Saccharomyces cerevisiae S288C: one gene and its partners. The gene in region 4 interacts genetically with the main gene of each other region. Each region holds a gene or a part of one and is shown on either strand. Other genes may lie near its edges. The genes, in order: DSE1, WHI2, PIR5 and KIN82.

The links.
Region 1: mutations in KIN82 (region 4) and DSE1 together harm fitness more than expected from each alone (negative genetic interaction), as found in Saccharomyces cerevisiae (3 studies listed by BioGRID).
Region 2: mutations in KIN82 (region 4) and WHI2 together harm fitness more than expected from each alone (negative genetic interaction), as found in Saccharomyces cerevisiae (3 studies listed by BioGRID).
Region 3: mutations in KIN82 (region 4) and PIR5 together harm fitness more than expected from each alone (negative genetic interaction), as found in Saccharomyces cerevisiae (3 studies listed by BioGRID).

What each region holds. Positions count from the first base shown.
Region 1 is NC_001137.3:406,717-410,973, forward strand, and holds DSE1 (Dse1p), read right to left. Parts: upstream 2,348-4,257; coding exon 626-2,347; downstream 1-625. Other genes in the region: RSP5 (NEDD4 family E3 ubiquitin-protein ligase), read left to right, coding at 3,473-4,257. UniProt on the Saccharomyces cerevisiae protein: Involved in cell wall metabolism and required for the separation of the mother and daughter cells.
Region 2 is NC_001147.6:408,922-413,030, forward strand, and holds WHI2 (Whi2p), read left to right. Parts: upstream 1-1,948; coding exon 1,949-3,409; downstream 3,410-4,109. Other genes in the region: ubiquitin-binding protein CUE5, read left to right, coding at 1-739; IRC23 (Irc23p), read left to right, coding at 4,086-4,109. UniProt on the Saccharomyces cerevisiae protein: Plays a role in the coordination of growth and proliferation. Required for entry into G0 phase under conditions of carbon limitation.
Region 3 is NC_001142.9:117,262-120,523, reverse strand, and holds PIR5 (beta-1,3-glucan linked protein), read left to right. Parts: upstream 1-1,698; coding exon 1,699-2,562; downstream 2,563-3,262. Other genes in the region: heat shock protein HSP150, read right to left, coding at 1-75; FMP33 (Fmp33p), read right to left, coding at 2,737-3,262.
Region 4 is NC_001135.5:272,395-277,066, reverse strand, and holds KIN82 (putative serine/threonine protein kinase KIN82), read right to left. Parts: upstream 2,664-4,672; coding exon 501-2,663; downstream 1-500. Other genes in the region: mismatch repair protein MSH3, read left to right, coding at 1-303; YCR090C (uncharacterized protein), read left to right, coding at 4,204-4,672. UniProt on the Saccharomyces cerevisiae protein: Flippase activator that phosphorylates DFN1 and DFN2 and which is involved in the generation of phospholipid asymmetry in membranes by the inward translocation of phospholipids.

The DNA of each region.
Region 1 (4,257 bases), on a different chromosome or scaffold from region 4:
AATATCCAAAATAATATGTAATTTATGATTAATCAAGGTTCAAGAATTGGAGAAACCGTGAGCGACTTCTTTGATACTTGGATGTAAGCTTTTATTTAGTTGCTTTTTCGTTTTCTTTTATTTACGCCCTTGTTTTGCGTGTATACTTTACTTTTCTAATTCACTTGAGAGCGGGACTATATATAAAAAAATGCACAATTACAAACTTGAGAATGAATGCATATCGTGAAGATTTTGATATTAAATTAAGAAGCCAAAAAAACGTAGGCAACCATAACAAATTTCGGCATTGAACTTGATTCTAAATGCTACATACAATTACGCGCGCTGTTTTGATATACACACACATATATATATATATACATTGTGTAAGAAAAATTCAAAGCTTAGTAAAACATACAGATCATGGAGAAAAAAAAAAAACCGAATACTTGTGTTACCAGAAGGATCCACTGACTGGACTTGGGTCACAATTTGAATTTTATTGATTTTCACCTTCATCAAGGAGGATGGTCGTTAGTAATAAAGGGCATTCTGAGTGACAGACAAAGAAATTATCTTCAAAGAAATGTTACTTTGATTCATTGATATGTTATTTGTTTTTATTTGAAAGCACTCAAGGAAACTAGACAACAGTAGTATCAATAGTAGATCCACTTAAATGCACATCATTTACAGAATACATCCTCTTTGTGAAGACGATATCCTCTTGGTCATCATTCAATCTACCTTCGCTAACAGTATTTGCTGAAGAACAATCCCAATTACCAGAATTTGAGAACATATCATCAGATGTTTCTGTCATACTATGGTCACTCTCATTGGATAATGATAACATAGAAGAATCAGATATTCCACTCTTCCCAGTACCATTACCATCGATTATTTTACCGGTATCGACATTGAATTGAACTTGACAAATTTGATGTAATCCCAGTTCACAAAAATTGTCAAGAGTTACTAAACTTCCATCGTTTGCCATATCAAGGAATAAAAATCCACATCCTTTTCCATTGGCCTTAGTGTCATTGCTCTTCAAGCAAATATTTTTATCACTCATACCACTCACAATAATGTTTCCACATTGGAAGACTTGCTTGGTTAATAGTAGTTCACTTTCACTATCTAGGCTAATTGAGTTAAATCCATGGACTAACTCACCATATTTCATGTTTTGTAGGTTTTGTAAATCCCAACAAATGACAAAGCCTTGGTCATCACTGCTATATAACGCGCCTGTGTTTTCGTTAAATTTTAGACTTTCAATGTATCCTTTCTTAGCATATAATTCACAAACTGGTTTACCGTCGCAGGATTGAATGTCCCAAATTTGAATTTTATCGTTCAAGCTCTGTGCAACGTGATGATTACTTATCCATACGCAATCCAAACTTGTGTTCTTTCTTTGCAAATGGTCTTTTCCACATCCTGCAGATATGCTATTATCTAAAATATCTGGAATATAGAGATTTGTTCTCAAATCAAGCAGCGAGATGCCATTTGGTCCAAATTTTGAGCCAACTAAGGCCAGTAAGAAGGGATCATGGAATTCATTAACGGCAAAAGAATTTATACCTGGATATGATTGCAAAAAAATAGGTGTTTTTATGCAATCAAGATTTGATTTCAAGTCATATATAAAGAGGGAGTCATTTAGAAGGGAAACAAAACCGGTCTTGTTCCATGGCGAAACCTTCAAAATAGGTGCTGTTTTTGGCGTTATTTCCAGAATCGGAATCGACGTTGATACGGTAGATTTTAGAAACTTGTTGTGGTTAAACCTTTTTATTATTTTAGCACATCCCTTATATGTTGAAGTTGCTATCAGATTGACTATACCGTCTTGATGACCTGTCAATATTAATTGGTTGTGGTTAGGATTTATTTGAGAGCTGGGGAAAATCTGTGGCGGAAAATCTACCATGGGCAATAAGCAGATACAAGTAATGGGTTTACCGGGAACAGTAATCGTCTGTAGTTCCTTCAGCTTTTTCTCAGCGGAAATTTCAAAAAGTTTCAAGTTGTCTTTCTCGTTCATTGTAGATACTAGAAGTATATTATCCACAATGGACATGTCTGAAGGTATGGATAACTCACTTTCATCAACACCGTACAGTTTCCAATAATCTGATTTTAATTTTTTAGTTGTATAATAGTCATTGAAGTTGTCTGATGCTTTTCGCAAAATCGGTGAATTCATTTTCGAAGTATTGTTTTGCCACGTTTTTTTGTATGTGGATAAAGTCATCATCGATTGTAAAATCCTCTTTTTATCTGATCTCTTCTTTATATTAATAGCAGGCTGACGAAAAATATTTGTTGGTTCGTAGTATTTGGTATCTTGCATAATATTAATACGTGTCACTCTCACTATCACACCTACAATCAAATTTTTTAGCAAACACAGATTAAAATTTGGAAGTCATGCAAGAAGAAGAAGCCAAAAGATAGTTTGAGGAAAGCTTGGGAGAGATATTTCTACCTTTTTATATATTGTAAAACGTTTACGCACTTATTTATGTAAACCAGTAAGCACCCACCCAGCTATGTCGTCATGACTACAAATTGGTTATGAACCAAGCCTTATTCAGTAAACCAGCAAATTTAACATCATGCCGGCATTGAATCATACATAGAAATCAACACAATAGCTTTGAGAACTGAGAATGTAGCTTTGACGCTGCTATTATTATTTGGTATTGTTTACCTTTTAATGTTTATTTGTTTAGAAAACAGACTGCTGGTTTGTTTACATTTGAGAGCAGAAAAAAAAAATTGCTGGCGCAGACCAGCCGCACAGTCACGTGACAGTATACGATCATGTGATCTTACGTACATAATGACATTATACGAGAAAGGGGAAAAAACAAAAATTTAGTGGAAATTTTTGGTAAAGACCAAATTGCAGTGATCTTCATGGTGAAAGGTAATATTTTTTGCTGGCGGGGGAGGGGGCTTCTATCTCGACAATTAAAAGACATACGCTTAACCATTTTTAGGGTACTCGAGTATCGCATCTGCTAATTGATAAAAGGACTTTGTTGTGTTTTGAGGCTGTTTTCCATTTTCTTCGTTAGAGCTACAAGAGTCGACTTTTTCGTTAAACAAAAACGATTATAAGATAATAAGCGCTGTCAGTTTTTTCCACAGTTTTGGACTTGTTACTATAATTCGTGAAGCACATTTTGCAAGTGAGTCAAAATTTCAGTTCAGTCCTTCTTTAGAAGAGTGAGTGCGTAGCAAATAAAACAGCAGGAAATAATTGCTTGTTTTTGTGTGTAAGTACCTTTTAGTTGGAACTACCGAATATAGTGTTATTCGACTTTCACTTTCATAAGCCACAGCTTTTTCTTAGTGCGTTTTTAGTTCGATAAATTTACCAAAAACTATTTTCCCCTTTTCTTATTCCCTTTTCTTTGTTAGCTTGGGTATTATATTTAAAGTAACAGAAAGGAAAGAAAAAAGAAAAAAAATGCCTTCATCCATATCCGTCAAGTTAGTGGCTGCAGAGTCATTATATAAGAGGGACGTATTCCGTTCCCCGGATCCGTTTGCTGTTCTGACTATTGATGGTTACCAAACCAAATCTACATCCGCAGCGAAGAAAACGTTAAATCCCTACTGGAATGAGACTTTCAAATTCGACGATATCAATGAAAATTCTATTTTAACCATCCAAGTCTTTGATCAAAAGAAATTTAAAAAGAAGGATCAAGGGTTTCTTGGCGTGGTTAACGTCCGCGTGGGTGATGTTTTGGGCCATTTGGATGAAGATACTGCTACATCGAGTGGTAGACCTCGCGAAGAAACTATTACTCGTGATTTAAAAAAATCTAATGACGGAATGGCCGTCAGCGGTAGGTTGATTGTTGTTTTATCAAAACTACCTTCGTCAAGTCCGCATTCACAAGCTCCTTCTGGCCATACTGCATCTTCTAGTACGAATACAAGTTCAACTACTCGAACAAATGGTCATTCTACTTCCTCCACCCGTAATCATTCAACGTCTCATCCTTCCAGAGGCACCGCGCAAGCAGTAGAATCAACTCTTCAAAGCGGTACAACAGCTGCTACTAATACGGCAACAACCAGTCACCGTTCCACCAATTCCACATCCAGTGCTACCAGACAATACTCTTCGTTTGAAGACCAGTATGGTCGTTTACCCCCTGGTTGGGAGAGAAGGACCGATAACTTTGGTCGTACATATTACGTCGATCATAACACAAGGACTACCACTTGGAAACGTCCAACGCT
Region 2 (4,109 bases), on a different chromosome or scaffold from region 4:
AACTCAATTAGAACAAGACGAATTATTGGCACGGCAATTAGATGAGCAATTCAACAGCTCACATTCCCGTCGTCGTAATCGTGATCGCGCAACTAGAAGCATGCATGAACAGCGCAGAAGACGTCATAATCCGAACGAAAGGGAGCAACATCACGAAGACAGTGAGGAAGAAGATTCGTGGTCGCAATTTGTAGAAAAGGACCTGCCAGAGCTTACGGACAGAGCCGGTCGGTCATTACAGGACACAGCAAACAAAGTTAGTAACTGGATAAGTGATGCTTACCGGAGAAACTTTGCGTCAGGTAATGAGCAAAACGACAACCAACATGGTCACCAAGATCAGCAAGAATGGGAGCCAGAGATTGTGGATTTGTCACAAGGCGGGAAAAATTCAAGACCCCAGCAACCTGAGAGAAGAAGATTCAATTCGTTTGGCGTTCAAGTCGGTGATGACTCTTTAGAAAGCCACGGAATCACACTACACAACGAAGATGGATTTGAAGATGATGAAGATGTGCCACCTCAGTTACCAACGAGAACAAAATCTGGTGAGTCGACTGGAAAAGTAGTGGCAGAGACAACCTACATTGATACTCCAGATACAGAAACGAAGAAGAAATGGCAGCCGCTACCACCGGAACCCCTGGATACTACACCAACTAAAGTAAACGCTGTTTCTAGAAATAAGAAAAATCCGGATGAGGATGAATTCTTAATCAATAGTGACGACGAGATGTAAAGCTGATATCTACGTACATGTGTATACGTGCCAATATTTGGACGCATCTTATTTTACGCGCTTGTGAAGAACTCACTACCTTCTTGAAGGAAGTAAGAAAAAATTTTCAGAATTGTTGATAGTCGTATATCTTCCATTATAACTATTGTTAGCTATTAATTCAGATAATGTAGATAAGATTGAAAACATAAATTCATCATAAAAAAGAATAGGTCTTTTACGGCACCCGTTCAGACACTTTGACACTTCAAAGTATATGCATCAGCACACTTCTGACCATTCTACGTATTGTAACAGCAACATGAGTTCTTTAAAACTCCAATTGACATTTTCGTAATGTGTTTTGCATATCATCTAAATTTCAATGACAGATTTAAAAAGTCAAGTAATTAAAAATTTTCATAAGCGTGCTTTTTTATAGTGCGAAGAACGGCAAAGGCAACCTTAAGAAAAAAAAATGATAGGTTACGTGCTATATCCGGAAAATAAAGAAAGATGAGTAAGAGTTAAAGAAAGAATTCAACCAACCTGATGGGTGTATGAAAATCCCGATTTTATATCGACAGCGCTAGCATGCATGAACAGTGTTTTGACGGTCAAGAAAAAACATAACCTCTGCATAATGTACTTACTTATCAAAACGTTGCAAATCTTGTATGTAAGAGGTGTTTGGGTGTTTTTTCCAAACGACCCGAAGGAGGGCAATTCAAAATAAAAAAAGCAAATTTTATCAGGAAGAGAAGATTTTAGTCAGAACGGGCCATGTTCAATGGCCAATTTCTTATGCTCTAGAGTAATAATTACTAAGGAGGAAAGTAAGACAAAAAACGGTCTATCGTTGTTTTAAGTTTACAGCATAGGCATAGTGATAGAGTGTGAGAGAGTCTCTAACTCGGCGTCAGTTTAGAGTCATTTTTTTCTTTTCTCCCCCCAAAGGTCATAAGAAGATAAGGATCCAAATTTAGAAGACAAAAAAAGTTTTGTTAGAACGTTTATCCCATTAAAAATAAGGGAAAAGAGAAACAACGTTATTTAGTGATTTTTTTAATTGAGAAGCATTTTCTCCAGTGATAATTTAATTGTTTTTTTATTCGGAAAAGAACAGAAAGCGCAAGAAGACAACTCCTTCACACTTAGGCTATTAATTTTCCCGCCTCCCCATTAATTGATAAAGATAAAGGTTGTCTGAGCTTACACTTATTATAAACAATGGACGATATAATCACGCAAGTTTCTCCAGATAATGCAGAGTCCGCTCCGATTCTACAAGAACAGCAACAGCAACAGAACTCACAGTACGAAGGTAACGAGGAGGATTATGGTGATTCATTGATTCATTTGAATATTCAAGAAAACCATTATTTCATTACGAGGGACCAGTTGATGTCTCTACCTGAATCCCTATTACTGTGTTTATTTCCCTCAGGTGTTTTTTTGGACCGTTGTGGTCAGGTCATTACTAATTTGACCAGAGACGATGAGGTCTACATTGTTAATTTCCCTCCTGATTGTTTTGAGTACATCATGGAGATATATACAAAAGCGCATGATGATTTGTATAATCATCCTGTGGAGAAATTTTTTGACAGACCATCAAGTAGCTTTGTTTCGAATGCAAAGGGATTTTTTGGACTGAGTAGCAATAATTCAATTTCGAGCAACAATGAGCAGGATATTTTACATCAAAAGCCCGCTATTATTGTTTTGAGAGAAGACTTGGATTATTATTGTGTACCTCAGGAGGAATTTCAGTTTGATTCCACTAATGAAGAAAATAATGAGGATTTATTGCGACATTTTATGGCTCAAGTGAAAATGGCTGCTGGCAGTTATTTAACTTCAAAAACATCGATTTTCCAAGGTTTGTATTCTTCGAATAGACTAAAGCAACAACAGCAACAACAGAAAATTGAAAAGGGGTCCAATTCTTCTTCAAATACTAAATCTACTTCGAAAAAATTGGGACCTGCTGAACAACATTTAATGGATATGTTGTGCTCCTCCGGATTCACCAAGGAAACTTGTTGGGGTAACAGAACTCAAGAAACTGGCAAAACGGTTATAAGTTCACTGTCTCTTTGCCGATTGGCTAACGAGACAACTGAAGGATTTAGGCAAAAATTTAACGAGGCTAAGGCTAAGTGGGAGGCAGAGCACAAACCTTCTCAAGACAACTTCATCACCCCAATGCAATCTAACATATCGATTAACTCTTTATCTGCAAGTAAATCTAACAGTACCATTTCTACAGCAAGGAATTTAACAAGCGGAAGTACAGCACCTGCTACAGCACGTGATAAGAGAAAATCAAGGCTGTCGAAACTAGCAGATAACGTTCGTTCGCACTCTTCCTCGAGACATAGTTCGCAGACCAGAAGTAAACCTCCGGAGTTGCCCAAATTGTATGATCTAGTGCCAAAACCTAATATCAACGCTAAGCTACTATTATTTTGGAGAAAACCTGCTCGTAAATGTTGGTGGGGTGAAGAAGACATAGAGCTAGAAGTGGAAGTCTTCGGCTCTTGGAAAGATGAATCAAAGAAAATCATTGAATTGATCTTGCCAACAAACGTTGATCCTGAAGCAGAACTACATAAAATCATTGTACCCGTCCGATTACATATTCGTAGAGTTTGGACTTTAGAGTTGAGCGTTATTGGGGTGCAGTGAGTGTATATAATATATTAGAGAAAGAAATGGAAAGAGATCGGGCCAAAGACACAATATGTAACAGTATGGTTTCTTGGTATCCCCTCTTTCTATTCCTCCCTTGTTACGAAATGATGTATATTTGTATCTCTATAACAAAATTATATGAACTGTCTCAAAGCACATGAAGAAGGAAAAAAGGTGGCGTCGAAGACTGCTAGATATTTCTCTTCGTATCTTCCCATCCCCTTCTGCAAATAACGGTTTTTCCATTGTCTATTTCAAAGTTACCCGCATAATAAAGTCGTACATTGTTCGAAAAATATCACTCAAAAGCAGCATTGATCCGGTATAAAACAATAGAAATTTTTTTTTTTTTTTATTGTTATAATTATTCTGACTCACGTCTGGATTTCGTTAGTTCGTCATTTTTTCTTAATTTCAGTAAACTGTGATCACGAGTCTGCAACATCATTATACACCGTATATCTGTATTATTAAGAATCAGGGTCTCCTTTTAATTTGCTGTTGAAAAACATCTTAAGGGAGTGTGATTGTCTGTTGATGTATACTAGTCTGGTAAAGCTAAATATTCTTATAAAAAACTTTTGGTAACCCATTATTACAGGAAACAAGATCCATTTATCAGATAAAAATTATAAAACATTAAGGAATCAGGACCTTTTTTTCGACAATCATGATAGAGGCGTTGGAAATAGTT
Region 3 (3,262 bases), on a different chromosome or scaffold from region 4:
AGGCTCAGATGGAGCATAGGCGGCCAATGTAGTAGCGGCCAAAGCAGAGGCAACCAAAGTCTTTTTGTATTGCATTATATTATTATTATTGTACTAGGGTTAGAAAAGGAATATGAGTTTCTTATTGATATTTTTTTGAGCTTTGAGGTAAAAGGAAGGACATAATCGAAATTGATTGTCGTTAGACTTCAAGTGTTCCTTTTATATCTCGAGGATTCCTACCATTCAAGCTAATAAATTTTTCACCAACCATTCCTTTTTTAGGATCTTTCTTATTTTGACCAAAATCTAAATTTAGCTCAAAATGTGGTGTTCCGCTTGAGAAAACACTCATTTGTACTATTAGTTTTCCTGATCTGGTAAAGAAATGAAAAATTAGGCTGAGTTGGCGACTTATCACTACAGACGGAAAGCCATTAATGAGCTTTTTTGTCTTTAATAATTTCCGAAATAGGAAATAGTAAGATCACTTAATATGAATAACTCCCAAGAATTACCATTTACGGCCCCTTCCAATAGAGGTGGGAAATGTGTATGTGCATTGTGAGGGTCGCCTAATTGGGCAGAAGGGGGGAGAAATGAGCGTGGCAAAGCAGTGAGATTGACTCGTTTTGCGGCCAGCAACGTGTTGGACATGGCGGACCTGCCTGCATTAATTATAGCACAAAGCCTATCATTCATCGCATCCTTGTGCAAGTTCTAAGTTCACCTCCATATGGATTAGCGGCCAGGATAATGGAAAAAATTTACCATACTTTTTTTTGCAGAATAGATCAACAGTTTGGTGCATTTGTTCCTTCTTGTTTTTTTTTTGCTTGTTTTTACAATTTTTACTGTTTTACTATGAACTGATGGCTGGTATAGTGACAGAGTTTCTACTTTTTTGCTACTTAGTAGACTACTATACTAACTAGGACATATGTTGTTCGTAACGGTAAATGCACTTAAAGTATTTTACTGTTTTTAATTGGATTTGCTTGTTGTAGTAATTTTTGGACTGATTTCGGTCAATCGCTATTTTAATTTTTACTGTTCCTTGCATCTTTTACTAATCCGAAATTAGCTCAGCTCAAATTTGTAGTTTACTAAAGTACGCTTTTCCTAAAAGACGAAAACACAAATATAGTGAAGACATTATCCGACTTTTTTGCCAAAAAGGGACAAAGCACGAAATTAAGTAAAACTGTGGTAAAAACTACAGAGGAACGTCGCATTGGCTAGCAAGGATCTATTGTTACTCTATCAAAACCCCTTTGCCAAGCTCACATATCCTATTTGCCGTTCCTGAAGGCATCCAACTAGGCTTGATATCATCTTACTTATATAGTGGGCTTCTGCTCCTTAACCTGATCAATTTCACCTCTAATTTTGTAGGATTCCTGAGAAAATACAGAAATTCTAACGTTCCTCTGATATATTACGAGTGAATCATTGGGTATATATAAGAGAAGTGGAGTAACAAAAGCTGTAGAAAGTAAGTTACACAGAGTCACAAAAGAATATCGACTTTTTGTGCAAGAAAATTCGACTGTTTTGACTCACAAAATTATTCTTTTTGCGAAAGAGTGGGGAAACGAAAACAGTTAAAAGAGTAAAATAACTTGTATACATATACTTATCTTCTTGTTTCGAAATTTCTGTTTAGTCTCGATTTTTTAATTCTATACAACTTACTGAAGAAGTGAACACCGCCCCAATATGCATTACAAGAAAGCATTTCTAGCATCTCTATTAAGTAGTATTGCGCTAACTGCGTACGCTCCACCTGAACCCTGGGCAACTTTAACTCCAAGCTCTAAAATGGATGGTGGCACAACAGAGTACCGGACCTCATTCGGTCTCGCTGTTATACCTTTCACCGTTACTGAAAGTAAGGTCAAAAGAAACGTCATTTCACAAATTAATGACGGTCAAGTGCAAGTAACGACACAAAAATTACCTCATCCAGTTTCGCAAATTGGAGACGGCCAAATACAAGTTACAACGCAGAAGGTGCCTCCAGTAGTGTCACATATTGTGTCACAAATAGGCGATGGTCAATTACAAATAACTACAGCTAAAAATGTTGTCACAAAGTCCACAATTGCTGTTCCAAGTAAAACTGTAACTGCGACAGCAACTTCAACCGCAACTGCTGTTTCTCAGATTCATGATGGTCAAGTGCAAGTTACTATTTCTTCAGCCAGTAGTAGTTCTGTGCTTTCCAAGAGTAAGTTAGAGCCAACAAAGAAACCAAATAATGAAAAAGTGATCAAGGTGCAAGCCTGTAAAAGTTCTGGCACCTTGGCAATAACGTTACAAGGAGGTGTTCTTATTGACTCCAGTGGTAGAATTGGATCGATAGTAGCAAACAGACAGTTCCAATTTGATGGTCCACCTCCACAGGCGGGCGCTATTTACGCTGGCGGCTGGTCGATAACGAAGCATGGCACTTTAGCTATTGGTGATAATGACGTGTTTTACCAATGTCTGTCGGGCACTTTCTATAACCTTTACGATCAGTCTATCGGGGGCCAGTGCAATCCCGTTCATTTACAAACAGTTGGTCTCGTCGATTGTTGAATCACCAACATTATAATCTTGCAGGTCTTGATTGTACTTCAAAAATATAACTAAAATAATAGTATAAAAGTAAGTCTGTCTTACTATGTATGGGGCGCGTTATAATTTTACGTATTCACAAACGAGTTTTCATTTACTTCATCGTTTTTATTTTCGGAGATGTTGCCTTCTGCATTACTCAAAGCGCACTCCAGCTTTTTCCAGCTGTTTCATCCTAAGTTTAAGTGCCATATAAATCAACGGTGGGAACCCTAAAACACTAACGACACTTCCCTTATAAAGAATGGATTTTTTGCCTAAGGTGGAATTGCCTATTAGGCTCGAAAGTTGAATGAGAAACCCCCAAACAATCGAAAATTGAGAGACATCACTGTACGTCAAAGAATGAAGTACTTTATGGAGGTCACTCTTTTGTAAGTCAAGCTCTTTCTCTTGATAGGTATCAAGTGCTGGCTTGAATATTCTATTGGGAGCGTCATGGACTATATTTACAATGTCGTCTTCTGCGATGGCATGGGGATCTTCTTGCTCTTTGGACTTATTCAAGCTATTTGATTCTAGATATAGGCATGCCAGACCTGTCCCATACAGTGTTGTCACTAAAAGACTAGTGTACAAATTACCCTTCGAAAATAAAGGTTTTGAGCCAAGATTGGGCGATGTGCCTGAAAACTTGGTGAATTGTGAGTTGTGACGTAAC
Region 4 (4,672 bases):
AGGAATTATCATATGGATTACGTGGAAGAACAAAAAACTGGCGAGGACTGGATGAGTGTAATTTTTCTATATAAGTTAAAAAAGGGATTGACTTATAATAGTTATGGGATGAATGTGGCGAAATTGGCACGCCTGGACAAAGATATTATAAATCGGGCATTCAGTATTTCAGAAGAATTGCGGAAGGAATCCATTAACGAAGACGCGTTGAAATTATTCAGCTCTTTGAAAAGAATATTAAAAAGTGATAATATAACAGCAACGGATAAACTCGCGAAATTACTATCATTGGATATCCACTGATGCGGATGGTACGTATGTTCTAAATGCAGCATTATCAGACAATAAATGATATTATATTTTTCATTCACTTTCTCGTTTTTGAATTGTTCCTTTGTTTATTTGTTTACTTTTAAATAATTTTTTACATTTTTATCATAAGATAAATTGAGAGAAACAATACAGAAATTTGGCCATGGGTTTATCTTTCTGTAAACATGTTATAGTTCAGGTATGATGTCTTTAAAGAAACTTCTATGTGAGCTGTTATGCCTTGGCCTTGTACAAGTTGCTTTGTATAGAATTTTTCCGTAGGTATAATTTTCAGAGTAGGTTAAGATATTGTGATCTTTCTTCGTTAAACTCATAGAATTAAAATCATGGAATGGATCAGCCTCATCAATTTCATCATCGTTTGCAACTTTCTCACAGAACATTTTGGTTTCCTGTTCACTCACTGAGTTCCTTTTCGGGTGTTTATTGCAAGACAATATAAAAGGAAGTTCGCAGCCGTTATCATTTAATGCAGGTATTAGAGGGGGGTCTTGGTTTCTTAAGAACGACCACTGAACTTTTTTGAAGAAGGGATGTCTCTTTATGTCTGCAGCTCCTGATTTGGAACCAAGCCTTTTTGCCTCGTTTTTGTTTAGTAGTTTCTTTATCAGGTCTTTACAATTCTTCGAAACTTCCTTATCATGTGGAAATTTGACGTCCTTGGTTAAAATGTTAGAGAATGTTTCATTTGAATTATCTCCTTTAAATGGAGTACAGCCAAATAGCATCTCGTAAATCAATATTCCTAAAGTCCACCAGTCTACTGCTGCAGTGTGGCCATTCCCTCTGATTACTTCTGGAGCTAAATACTCTTCAGTACCAACAAAGGAATTAGTTCTGAATCCATCTGAACAAATTTTTGTATCTAAATACGTAGAGTCTTTCATGGTGGGTTTTTTTGATCCCGTTGCTTGGATGGATAAATCAAAGTCAGAAAGCATGACATGACCAGATTGATGCAGTAATATGTTTTCGGGTTTCAAATCTCTGTATATGAAGCCCAGTAGGTGTAAATATTCCAAAGCTGCTACTACTTCACTGGCGTAAAACTTCGCATCTTCTTCTGCAATGCATTTACTTTTTCTTGTTTGTAAGGCTCTAAAGAATTCCCCTCCCATGCAGTATTCCATACAGAGATACAAATAGTCTTTGGTTTGAAAGGAATGATACAGTGTCACAATAAATGGATGATCACTTGTCGCGAGAATTTCCTGTTCAGTGAGTACTCGTTTAATTTTCTTCCTCTTGATCATCTCATGTTTATTCAAAACTTTCAGGGCGAATATCTGGTTGGTATCGCGTTCCCTCACTAAATACACTTTACCTACGTCACCTTGGCCAAGTAGTCTAATTTTTTCGAAGGATTGAGGTTCGACAGTAATGTCTTGGAACTTGTTACCGAATGACTTGGTTCTTAAACGACGAGATCTCCTCGGTTCTACAATATCTCCCAAGCTTGGAGGTTGTTTCAAGGCAATGTAATCTTCCCGCATTAACCCATCCTTTGCCGTATTGAACGGTTCGGAAGCGGCCCTCCTTAAACGTGGTGTTATGTTCATAGGTATTTGATCCTTTCTGGTTTCGCTATTTTTCCTTGGGGAATCAATTGGTGAATTGGATAATGACAAGTTAGCCAGGGGGGAGGCACTGCCATTTTCGCTGATTTTTCTATGGAAATTTTGGAGCTCTTCATTTTCGTTAATATCATTCAAAGATCCATTACTCAGGTTTCTACTGTCCTTTGCTATATAACTTGGGGAGCTAGGAGTGTGGAAGGATGACGGGTCTGTGGGCATGTCAAAGGTAAATAACTCCGCGTCCGGAGAAGAGCTACCTGAGATCTCATTAGGTGTGGAGCATATCGCCTCATTGGGTATAAGTGTGCTACTTGTAGTACTATGGACATTTGGCTCACCGATAATGGAACTTTGTAACAGCTCTGTATGTATCGTCGACCGGGGTTCACGCTTATGCGTACCTTTTTCTGAAGTTGACGCATCTGTAGTACCACTGCTCTTTGATCTGTTATGATTAAACATTGATTTGAACTTGTTAAGTTTGGAGCTTGACCAGCTATCGTTGCATTCTACATGCAGGGGAAACGGTATGGGAAGATCTTGCTTGTTTCCATTACAAGCCATATTAATTTGTGAGCTTGGGCTTGCGGACAACGAACAAGAATTGACGTTCAAACAATTGACATTGATGTTTTTGCCAGGAGGTGCATTGTTTTGCAGAGATCTCAAATTACGAGCAAATATTTTGGGTAGCGACATGCTCCTCCCCTTGGATAAGCGTTGTGAGGGGGAACGGTATTCTTGCTGAGTCATGTGTACCAACACTGTTGAACCTTGTTTGCAGTAATCCTTAGGGCACTCAATGAATTCTTGTACGTTTCAAACATACTATAATTAAAGAAGAAGAACTTTCTCTAAAAAAACTGGGGTTATTATGTCTTATGTTACTCCTTGAACAATATAGCTGAAAGAGGGAAAAAGGAAAGTATATTTCCGAAAAAGGATGCCGAAGACGGCGCTATCATAATTATGTGTTTGAGAGGCAGTTCACGGTTACATTCTAGTTCTTCTAGCGTCTGTTGTAGTATGAAAAGTACTTTATTGAATGTCCTTGACATGTTTTCCCAGGATCCAACTTAATGCTCCTCGCACTCATGCATGGGTCGGCCACACTGGAGATAATGATATTTATCTTGATATTCTTTGAAGAGTTGAAGAGCCAGCAGGAGTTTTGGAAGGATGTGACATTCTTAGTGGTTTTGATTTTTTTTTTTCAGTTCTGGCTTGTTCTTTTGTTTCATTGATGACGAAGGATTCGTTGAAGTTGAATGCACACAAAAAAAGCTTGATAACTAGTAATATTTTCTTGGCAGTCACATATATGGAAGGTGAATTTAGAGTAGTTTCCTTATAGCCTAGCGGGCTATTACCTTGTAAATACCACACTATCAATCCTTAAATGTATTGCTAATTGGCTATTAACCTAGATGTTTAGCTATTTATTATCTGTTGTTCGCTTAGCTAGGTACTGCTTTTTATGTTGTATTTTATCGAGAAGTTTAGTGTCGCCAGTTATAAAAAAAAAATTTAAACGTAAAGAAAGGTTATCGACAAATTAACGCAATATTACATGCCCTTTTCACCGTATCATGGTATACACTGGTGCATTAGTAGTAGCATACCTTTGAAAATAAAATGAATAACACTGTGAAGACGTAATGGTGTGTTTAGGCTTCACCATGACCAATTGTAGTATAATTTGCAATTTTATCACTAGGATTGTCACTAGCACATTAAATATATATATTTATATTGGTCCTTATTTTTATGAATTTTTTTTAATCTTAGAATTACGGAGCGTTTATGGCTTCATTGACCAAATAAAATGATTGGGCTGAAAGTTTTGAAATATTTCCATGATTCACTGCGGATGCATCCTATTTACAACAGACAGAAGGAACTGACGTGTTTTTCGTGAATGAATTAGATATATATGTGAAATTATGTTTTTTGTTGTTTGAATTTTTGATTTCGAATTGGATTATTATTCTTTGTTTATCTCATCACTAATTACTTACTGCAAATGTACTTTGCCATAAAAAACTAAAAGATTGATCCTTTTATGCTCAAGCTTTGCTACTATAAGATAATTTAGATGATCTTGGCAGTAAATTTTTTTTTTTTTTTTTTTCAAATTTAGTTCTTCGTTGCCTACATTTTCTTAATTTTGTTTCCATTGCTTGTATCAAAAACTTATGAAATTACAAGCGTCAAGAAGCTGTTTATAAGAAGTAATGAAAAATTTTGAATAAAGACAACTTAACCAATAAAGAAAACCAGGTTGTGTACGATAATGCCGTTATTTTTGGTTCTGAAAGCAACATTATCAGAAAACGTGACCAAGGTTTCAATTGAGAATACAAACGAATCAAGGGCAGAATTTGCCTTCGATCTACAATGTACCAGTTGTAGAGAATTACACGATTCTAAAGTCATCATCAATACATTTGAAGAATATGCTATGCCGGCATCAAAAGGTACCGCATCTTTCTTGATGAAGTGTAAATTTTGTTCAAAAGAATTGTCAGTTAACCTGTGCGCTTTTGAGGATGAATATTTAACTGATCAGAGTGACGACAAATGGGCCAAGATAAAAGATGTGCGGAAGAAGCATGGTTTATCGAAGGTCAAAGAAGATTCTTTCATTCCTTTAAGCCTTGATTGCAGAGGTTGTGAATTAATCAAATTTTATCCCGACACCATAACGTTTGAAGTTTCTCTAAGTTCGGGGAAAGTAATGTCATGCCAACTAGAGGATAATG